Linked DNA regions of Sus scrofa. The protein of the gene in region 1 interacts with the protein of each later gene in a pairwise test. Links are inferred from orthologs where the notes say so. Each region holds a gene or a part of one and is shown in the gene's direction. Other genes may lie near its edges. The genes, in order: RPP30 and RPP14.

Region 1 (3,816 bases):
TAACATTGATTACTTTCTATTTTGTAGAATGTAATTGTATCTAGTGCTGCAGAAAGGGTAAGTCTGACATTAAGTACTTTGTTTTCACCTTTCAGTTATAAAACTTTAAAAGGTTTCTAGGAAAGAAAAATAGTAATGTAATGAACATTTATTGGATGTTTTCATTTTTAACTGCATGTATTCATTGTAATTGCTGAAGAGTAAAATTTATCCCCATTCCTTTGGGGCTGCACGTTTTGTTTATATAAATAGTTTTTCCTTTATAATTGTGGCAAAATGCTTTTCAAAGATCTTTTATATTTTCAAAGGCTTAAGAAACCCATCAGAATTATAAGGACTTAAATTTATGCAGTTGACATCCTTATTTTTAGATACTTAAGCATCCTATTTACTGAAAATGATATCATTGAAATGTTATGAATAACTTCCCTCATATCTATTTTTTGTTCATTTTATTTTAGCCTTTAGAAATAAGAGGCCCATACGACGTGGCAAACTTGTATCCTTTTCTGAGTAAGAAGTCATTGAAATTTTCTTTAGGAAATTTGGAATTTGGCATGTTATTCTTTAACAAATTTTTTTTTAATCTTTTTTTTATATGAATGTGTCAGTTAATAGCTTCAAAAACAGGTTATATCAAGTTGTAGAGGGTGTCATCCTTTTGTTTCCAGATTGAGGATGAAATAAGAAAAAAGGAAGAAAGGACTCTATAAAAGCTTAGAGTTAAATGAGTCTCGTCTCAAATGCATATTCCGTTTGGACTAAAACCATGGAATTAAAGTGTCTCTCTCTTGGTGTGACCAGGCAAGTTGGCATTTTCAGTTATGTTTCTGTTAGTCTCGTGTCCTCGGCTGACTCTGGGTTGAAATCCTTAACAACCTCACCAGAGGGTTGCTGTTCGGGCTGTCTGAAAGCGATGCCAAGGCCGCAGTGTCTACCAACTGCCGAGCAGTGCTTCTCCATGGAGGTGAGCAAGTTCTTCCAAGAAAAACGCCTCGTGCTCATGTTTAGAGCCAGTTGTTTCTATCAAACTGCCGGGCCATATCTACTTTTATCATCTTGCCCCCACAGAGTTCCTTCAGGGTCATCTTTTCTCAACCTGATTAAGCATACCCATCAATGCTTTCTCACCCTTTACTTCAGGCTTTATTTTCTGTAGTTTGTGGAACGAATATAGTTCGCCTTGCAGAGAAGGGTATTGGATGTGGCTGCCTTCTTTCAGGATCTGCGTGTGCATTTCCCCACCTGCATTTTCATGGGCTTCTAATCGCCCTTTCTCCTCCAGAGGGACATCTTTCCCTGCTGAAGATCACTGTTTAGAGAACAGGAAAGTTAAAAATACTTGTTAAGCCATTTATGAGGAACGCAGAAACACCAAGTACATTTTTAAAAATCCAGCTAACAAACTCAAAGCCTAAGTTTTCACATTTATTACAACTTGTGATTCTTTTCTTATTTTTTGTTTATACATGTTCAGGAATGCACAGATGATACATTTTTTACTCACATTTCATTTACCATGTATCTACCTCCTCACCTTGAATTCCACTGCTTGAAAGCACTGAATTTCTTATTCATCAGATGATAAAAATTGAACTAGAAGTTTTTGATATGCCAGGACTTTGGAGAATGAAGATGAGGTTTTATTAAAAGAAAAAAGCGTATACTTCTCATCTGCTGTTTTATCTTCATTCTCTTTGTAATTTTAGCAGTGGTCAGGAAGCAGTCTACTTGGTACCACCCAGGTGAACTTTAAATTTCAGAACTGGTTGCTACGTCTAGACTAAGTATGAATAGTTAGATTGAGGGCTTGTGTGTTGGATTTCAATGATCTGATTTCCACTTGGGAGAACTGGTTACTGTATTGACTTAACCGTAAAATAGATGATTTTGCTTTTGTATTCAACAGTTTTAGTTTGAGATTGTTGCCTTAACCCATTACATACATTCTGGAAATGACCAAATTAACTAGAATTTTATCAAGATTTTCTTGAAATTAGGGAACAGTTGGTTCACACTGGTAGTTCTGCCATTATTTTTGTCTATTTTAAGTGCGTGTAAGGAGTCATCAAGATTTTGGATAACAATTAGTGTTCCAAAACAGACCAAGTCAAGAAAGGGAAACTAATTTTAAAAATGCAGTAGGGGAAAATATGAAGTTCTGCTCTCGACTTCAGACAACTCAGCTGTTTAACATAAGAAATCTGCGTAAAACTAGGCTATTATAGAAGCCAAACTAAAAGAAGTCTTGTGGGCTTTAGGTCTAGCCCCGGCCCTGCTCTCCTTCCTGCCTCCACCTCCAGGGAGCCCGCGGGTGGTGACGGGGAGGCCTAGGGCCTGGTTCACAGCCGAGGTGGCAGAGCCTCTGGAGAGGGACGGCAGGCGTCCTGGCTCGGAATGCCCCCCAGCCTCAGGGTGAAGGCACAGCTGCTCCTTGGTGGGTGCAGCCCACTGGCACAGCTCAGCGCGGTCCCTGCCCTCCGCCCTCCCATGTCCCGCACAGAAATAAAAGGCACTCGGCCGTCCTGCCTGGTCAAAAAACAAAACAAAACAAAACAAAAACATTCACCCTCGTGTGCCCAGGACAATGCTACTTATTAGCTTATGCCTGCTGTCCTTGCTGAATTCATAACACATCTGCAGGGTAATGATACCCTGGTTTTAGTTGACACTGGGATCAGTGTCACATAGTAGTGTGGTGGGTTCCCAGGACTGCTAATTCCTCCTAAGGTTGCATGAGAGGAAATGCAAGATTCTGAGGCAAGAGAATTCAGGGTCTCATTATTTTTGTCTGCACTGCTAAGTCCTAGCTGGTCTCTGTATCATCCTGAGTGCCCCATTTAAGGACAGCGCTGCAGTGAAGCACTACCAGAAGGTGGTTAATAGATTCTCAGAGGGTCTGGAAACCTCACCCTGAGAGCAGTTGTTGAAAGCAGTGCAGGAATAGATTCCTGGAAAACAGAAGATGGGGCACACAGTAGCAGCAGTTCCACATTGGGAGCTTGCTACAGGGAATCACAAATAAGTGGTCCTGGGGGTTCTAGAAACCACTGAACAGCGATTCTAAGGAGGTCATGAGGAAAGGACAGCAAAGAGGTTCAAGGTCCAAAAATTACCTTATCTGATAGCTATAAAACTCGGGGTTTTCAGTGGTTTATAATCTGTCAGCTTAGATTAAGAAGGAAATGTTCATGTGATTAAAAAAGAGAACATTTCTGAGATGGAACTAAAATAATTTTGAAACTAATGCATTTTGTTTTATTACTGAGTGTTGGCTTTCGCAATTTATTCATTCTACTGATTTTTGGACTTTTACTCATAATCATAGTGATATAAATAAACTTCTCTAAATGCAACATTTTTTATTTGGCGAAATGGAAATCATTGGCAATTTCTCTTTATTTTGAGGTTCTCTGAATATGTTGGCATTTTAATGACCTTGACAGCGGTTTTGTCCCTTTTATAAATTAAGATGCTCTTAAATAACTGGCAAAGATTTAGTAGACTTGGTAAATTGATTCTATTAACTGAGAAGGTAATGTTTAACTCTTTATTTTTTATTTTTATTTTTTTGTCTTTTTAGGGCCACACCTGCAGCACATGGAGGTTCCCAGGCTAGGGATAGAATCGGAGCTGTAACTTATGGCCTAAGCCACAGCCATAGCCACATAGGATCTGAGCTGTGTCTGCAACCTACACCACAGCTCATGCCAACTCACCCATTGAGTGAGGCCAGAGATTGAACCTGCGTCCTCCATGGATGCTAGTCAGATCCATTTCCACTGAACCACGACAGGAATTCCAATGTTTAACTCT
Region 2 (4,326 bases), on another chromosome or scaffold:
GCTGTTATGGTATGTATACCATAGGTTGTATAACCCCCCGCCCCCACCCCTGTGGGGCCTGGGGCTGCTTTACATGAGCAAATGTATCCATATTTCTGATGTATACAATGTGCATATCCACAGCAAATGGGACAGAAGCTACAAAATGTTTCACCTAGGTTCAGATTAAGCATTGCACCTAATGAAGAAAGATTTAGTCTTCAGATTTTTCTTCGATTTTAGAATTGCAGATAAGGGACAGTGAGTCTGCATTTTCTTTTTTTTTTTTTTTTTTTTGTCTTTTTGTCTTTTGTTGTTGTTGTTGTTGCTATTTCTTGGGCCGCTCCTGCGGCATATGGAGGTTCCCAGGCTAGGGGTTGAATCGGAGCTGTAGCCACCGGCCTACGCCAGAGCCACAGCAAGGCGGGATCCGAGCCGTGTCTGCAACCTACACCACAGCTCACGGCAACGCCGGATCCTTAACCCACTGAGCAAGGGCAGGGACCGAACCCGCAACCTCATCGTTCCTAGTAGGATTCGTTAACCACTGCGCCACGACGGGAACTCCTGAGTCTGCATTTTCTACCTCCTCTCTCCAACCTTGGCAGATGGGGGTGGGAGGTGACATCTTAAGGAAGTCTATTCTTCCATGTGAAAGGAGAGGCATGCAGAAGGGTATGGTCCAAGACTCCCTCTTGGGAGCCTAAATTTTACTTACTATCAGTATTATAAAAATGATGCCCTATCACTTTAAAAGAAATCAAACAAAAACGAATGCTGAAACAATGTGAGGATCTCTTACACCCTCCACACAGCCCAATCCTTCCTCCATCAGTCCCCTTGGGACCCATCTAGACATTATACTTATGTGTCTATGTATGTATGTGCATACCTAGACACAGACACATGTCTAACTGGAGGAGGCTGTTACCACCGAACCTAAGTTCGACTGCTTGCCGCTTGAAAGGCTAATAGTGCCTGGCATACGTAAGCATTTGATTAATATTAGCTATTAATACTACTATTATTATTAATCCACACTGTATGGGGTTTTGTTTATTTCATGAATACAAGTGCCCTATCTTTTGTTTCCAACATCTAGCACATAATACGGGCTCAGTAAGTACTTATTTAATAAACGAATAAATGAAACTATTGTCTTAGATTTGGAAATAGGGCTATCTGGGACTTTTCATGTCAATCCAGACAGAAAAACTATGTGCTATGAGCCAAAAGAGACACTGAGAACGGGTCTTGCCCTTGGGGAATACTTTACATAGGAGATGCTCAGCAGAAGAAATGCTAGATACAATTTTTCTGAACGAATGAATACCTGAGTAAATGAATGACTAAGAAAAAAGCTCTCAGTCTGAATACGCCCTCAGTCACACACGGCTTGCCGCACCAGAGGCTGAGTGGGCACGAGAGGGCGCTAAGCCTGGCGAGCTTCAGATCCCGAGTCACGCCCGGGTCCTTCGGGAAAACGCCGCGCTGTGACGTCATATCCGCCCGAGCCGTCACGCATCCGGGGTCGGGGCAGACAGAAGCCAAACGTAAAGACCCCGGAGTTTTCTAGTTCGTGCTTAGGCTCCAGCCTTTGCCGAGAGGTTCCAAGCCTTGAGGGATTCTTGCAGTGAATAGGAGTCAGGCTAATCTCTCGGAGAGCAGGTAGACGGAAGTACGTAGTAGCGTGGCTGTTTTCCGGCAGTGGACTTAGTTGGCCGCGCTAGTGACGCGTGGATGCGCGCGCCAGGAAGGCACGCGCAAGGCGGGAGCGACGGCAGGCAGCGCGGAGACGCCTGAGGTACCTATACAGCTCAGGTCGCTCAGCGCCCCAGGCCGAAGGCGAGGCGGTGCTGAGAATCTCCTTGGGCTTTTGTACAACGTGGTCTTTTTTGCAGAGGGCGGCGGGAGGACTGAACGGGACCACATGTGCAGGGGGCATGCACTCGGCCCCAGGTGGGCGCCCAGTCGACGCCGACGGTCATCGAAAAAAGTTAGCCTGCTTTACTTATTGTTTAAAACAGTTCAGGTGTCGAGTTCCACTGTTGTGGCAGCGTGGAAACGAATCCGACTAGTAACCATTATGTTGCTGGTTCGGTCCCTGGCCTCGCTCAGTGAGTGGGTTAAGGATACTGCGTTCCTGTGGCTGTGGTGTAAGGCTGGCAGCCCTAGCTTCCATTCGATCCCTAACCTGGAACCTCCATATGCTTTAGGTGCAACTCTAAAAAGCAAAATAAAACAAAACACCAGCCTAAGTGGCTGATAGCTTAACAATTTAATCTCCAAACAGTAGAGGACCGAGCTTTTTAAAATTTTTATATCGTTTATGTCCTGTAATTACATACTGAGTGCCTACTGTATGTGATGCACTGTTTTAGCCTCCTGGGAAACAGCAGAAAACAAGGGAAAGATGCCTGTTTCTCTTTGGATTGTACATTCTGGTAAGGCCGGGGTGGGAGGGGGGAGGAGCAGGGCGGAGTGCAGACGAGAATTAAAGAATTTCAGAGTTTCCTGGTGGCTCAGCGGGTTAAGGATCTGGTGTTGTCACTGCTATGGGGTGGTTCGACCCCAGAACTAACCCCTCGCCGCCAACGCACCCCACCCCTCCAAAAAATAAGTGGATTTCATAGTTATGTTCTGTATACCTACAGAGTGGTGTATGCTCTGAGGAAAAAATAGAGCAGTGGCGTGGGGGGGTGACATTAGATAGAAATGCCACTGGAACACATTGAGGGGTGAAATTGAGTAAAGCTATGGAGGAGGCAAGGGAATGAACCATGTGGCTGTCTGGAGGAAGAGTATTTTCAGCGAATGGAAAAGCTGGGAGGGAAAGAGCTAGGAGGCCTGTGTGGTAGAAGAGACTGAGCAGAGGAGAGTGGTAGGACAGGAGGTCAGAGGGATGGGAGGAAGCAATGGTACAGATCAGGTTGGACCTTAGATGTAAAGACTTTGGCTTTACTCAAGGCTTCAAGCCTTGAGGAAAGGGGCTTATTAAGGTTTTAATAGGGTCACCCGGTTAGATTAGGGAGGGAAGCAGGGACATCTACTGCTAATAGATAAGGTAATGAGCATCCTTGCAGCCATCAAAAAGGCCGGCTTCAGAGATGATGATAATGACAGCCACTTAGAAGTGTTCACATTTTCCCAGTGAGCCTGGTGAATGAATATACTGGGCTGTAGGGAGGGCTTCCCAGGCATCATCTCCTTTAGTTTCAGGACAACCTGCAGAGGGCGGTGCTGTCACTCTGAGACCCAGGCCTGTCAGAGGTGACTGCTCAATAAACACTTGCTCCTACAGTTTTTTTTTTAATATAAAATAAACATAATGAAAAATTTACTATTTCTAAATATACACTTCATTGGCAAGAAGTATAGTCACATAGTTGTACAACTATAACCACTATCCATTTCCAGAATACTCCTTAAGTCTTCTTTGTTATTGGCATCCTAAGCCCCAGGCCCAATCTCACTCTACCTCAGGCAGCCACCTCCACTAAGGCAATCAGTAATGTTTAATAAACACCTATTGTGTGCCAGGCAATGAATGAAATGATTGAGGATACTGTCCTCCCTGCCCTTCCAGTCAGGGGAGATTGTAGTGATTGAGAAGGGAGCACCGTGAACTACTGCAGTCCTGAAACAAGAGTTCCCACTGTGGCAAAGTAGGTCAAGGATCCAGCATTGCTGTAGCTGCATCTCAGATTTGATCCCTGGCCCAGGAACTACATGTGCTGTGGGCGCGATGGAAAAAGAAAAGAGAAATGAGACACCCTTGAATGCTACCACCATTTAATCAGTCATGTATTCAATAAGTGTTTGTTGAATACTCTGTGCCAGACTCAGGAAATACTCATATTTGTTGAATAGGTGGTTGGATGTAGTGGCTTTGACCTTGACTTCTCATTTTCTCTTGAGGTTGTCTTCTGGGAGTGGTTGGAACTGGGACCGGAGAGGTTTTTGTGAATGCTGGTCTACAGCTATGTGACCTTGGAAAAGTTCCTTTCCTTGGATAGGCTTCAATTTCCTGTCCCTTTAGTTGGGGGAACCACATATTAAACAAAGACAATGTTAAGAGATGACATACCAAGGGAGCCTAACTTACAGCAAGGTGTCAGAGAAGGGCTCTCCGAAGAAGTGATGTTCCTAGAAGAGGTGAACTTTAAGCTGGAATTTGAAGGATGAGTAGGAGCTATCCAGAGTGGAGTGAGGTGGGTGAGGAACCCAGGATAGGGGTTCTCTTCAGGGGGAACAGCATGTACTGAGCTCTTCCAAGTTCCAGATCTATTGGGAATGGCTTGAGTGCCCATTCCAGGAATTCCTTTAAGACCTTTGCTGTTTAATCTG

What was found.
Region 2: the proteins of RPP30 (region 1) and RPP14 interact in binary tests that used the Homo sapiens proteins (3 or more experiments, as listed by UniProt). The link is inferred for Sus scrofa from reciprocal best matches to the Homo sapiens genes RPP30 and RPP14.

The regions. Positions count from the first base shown.
Region 1 is NC_010456.5:102,589,638-102,593,453, forward strand, and holds part of RPP30 (ribonuclease P protein subunit p30), read left to right. Parts: intron 1-27; coding exon 28-57; intron 58-461; coding exon 462-499; intron 500-887; coding exon 888-967; intron 968-3,816. UniProt on the Homo sapiens protein: Component of ribonuclease P, a ribonucleoprotein complex that generates mature tRNA molecules by cleaving their 5'-ends. Also a component of the MRP ribonuclease complex, which cleaves pre-rRNA sequences.
Region 2 is NC_010455.5:40,060,664-40,064,989, forward strand, and holds the start of RPP14 (ribonuclease P protein subunit p14), read left to right. Parts: upstream 1-1,514; 5' UTR 1,515-1,783; intron 1,784-1,794; exon of another isoform or gene 1,795-1,975; intron 1,976-4,326. UniProt on the Homo sapiens protein: Component of ribonuclease P, a ribonucleoprotein complex that generates mature tRNA molecules by cleaving their 5'-ends.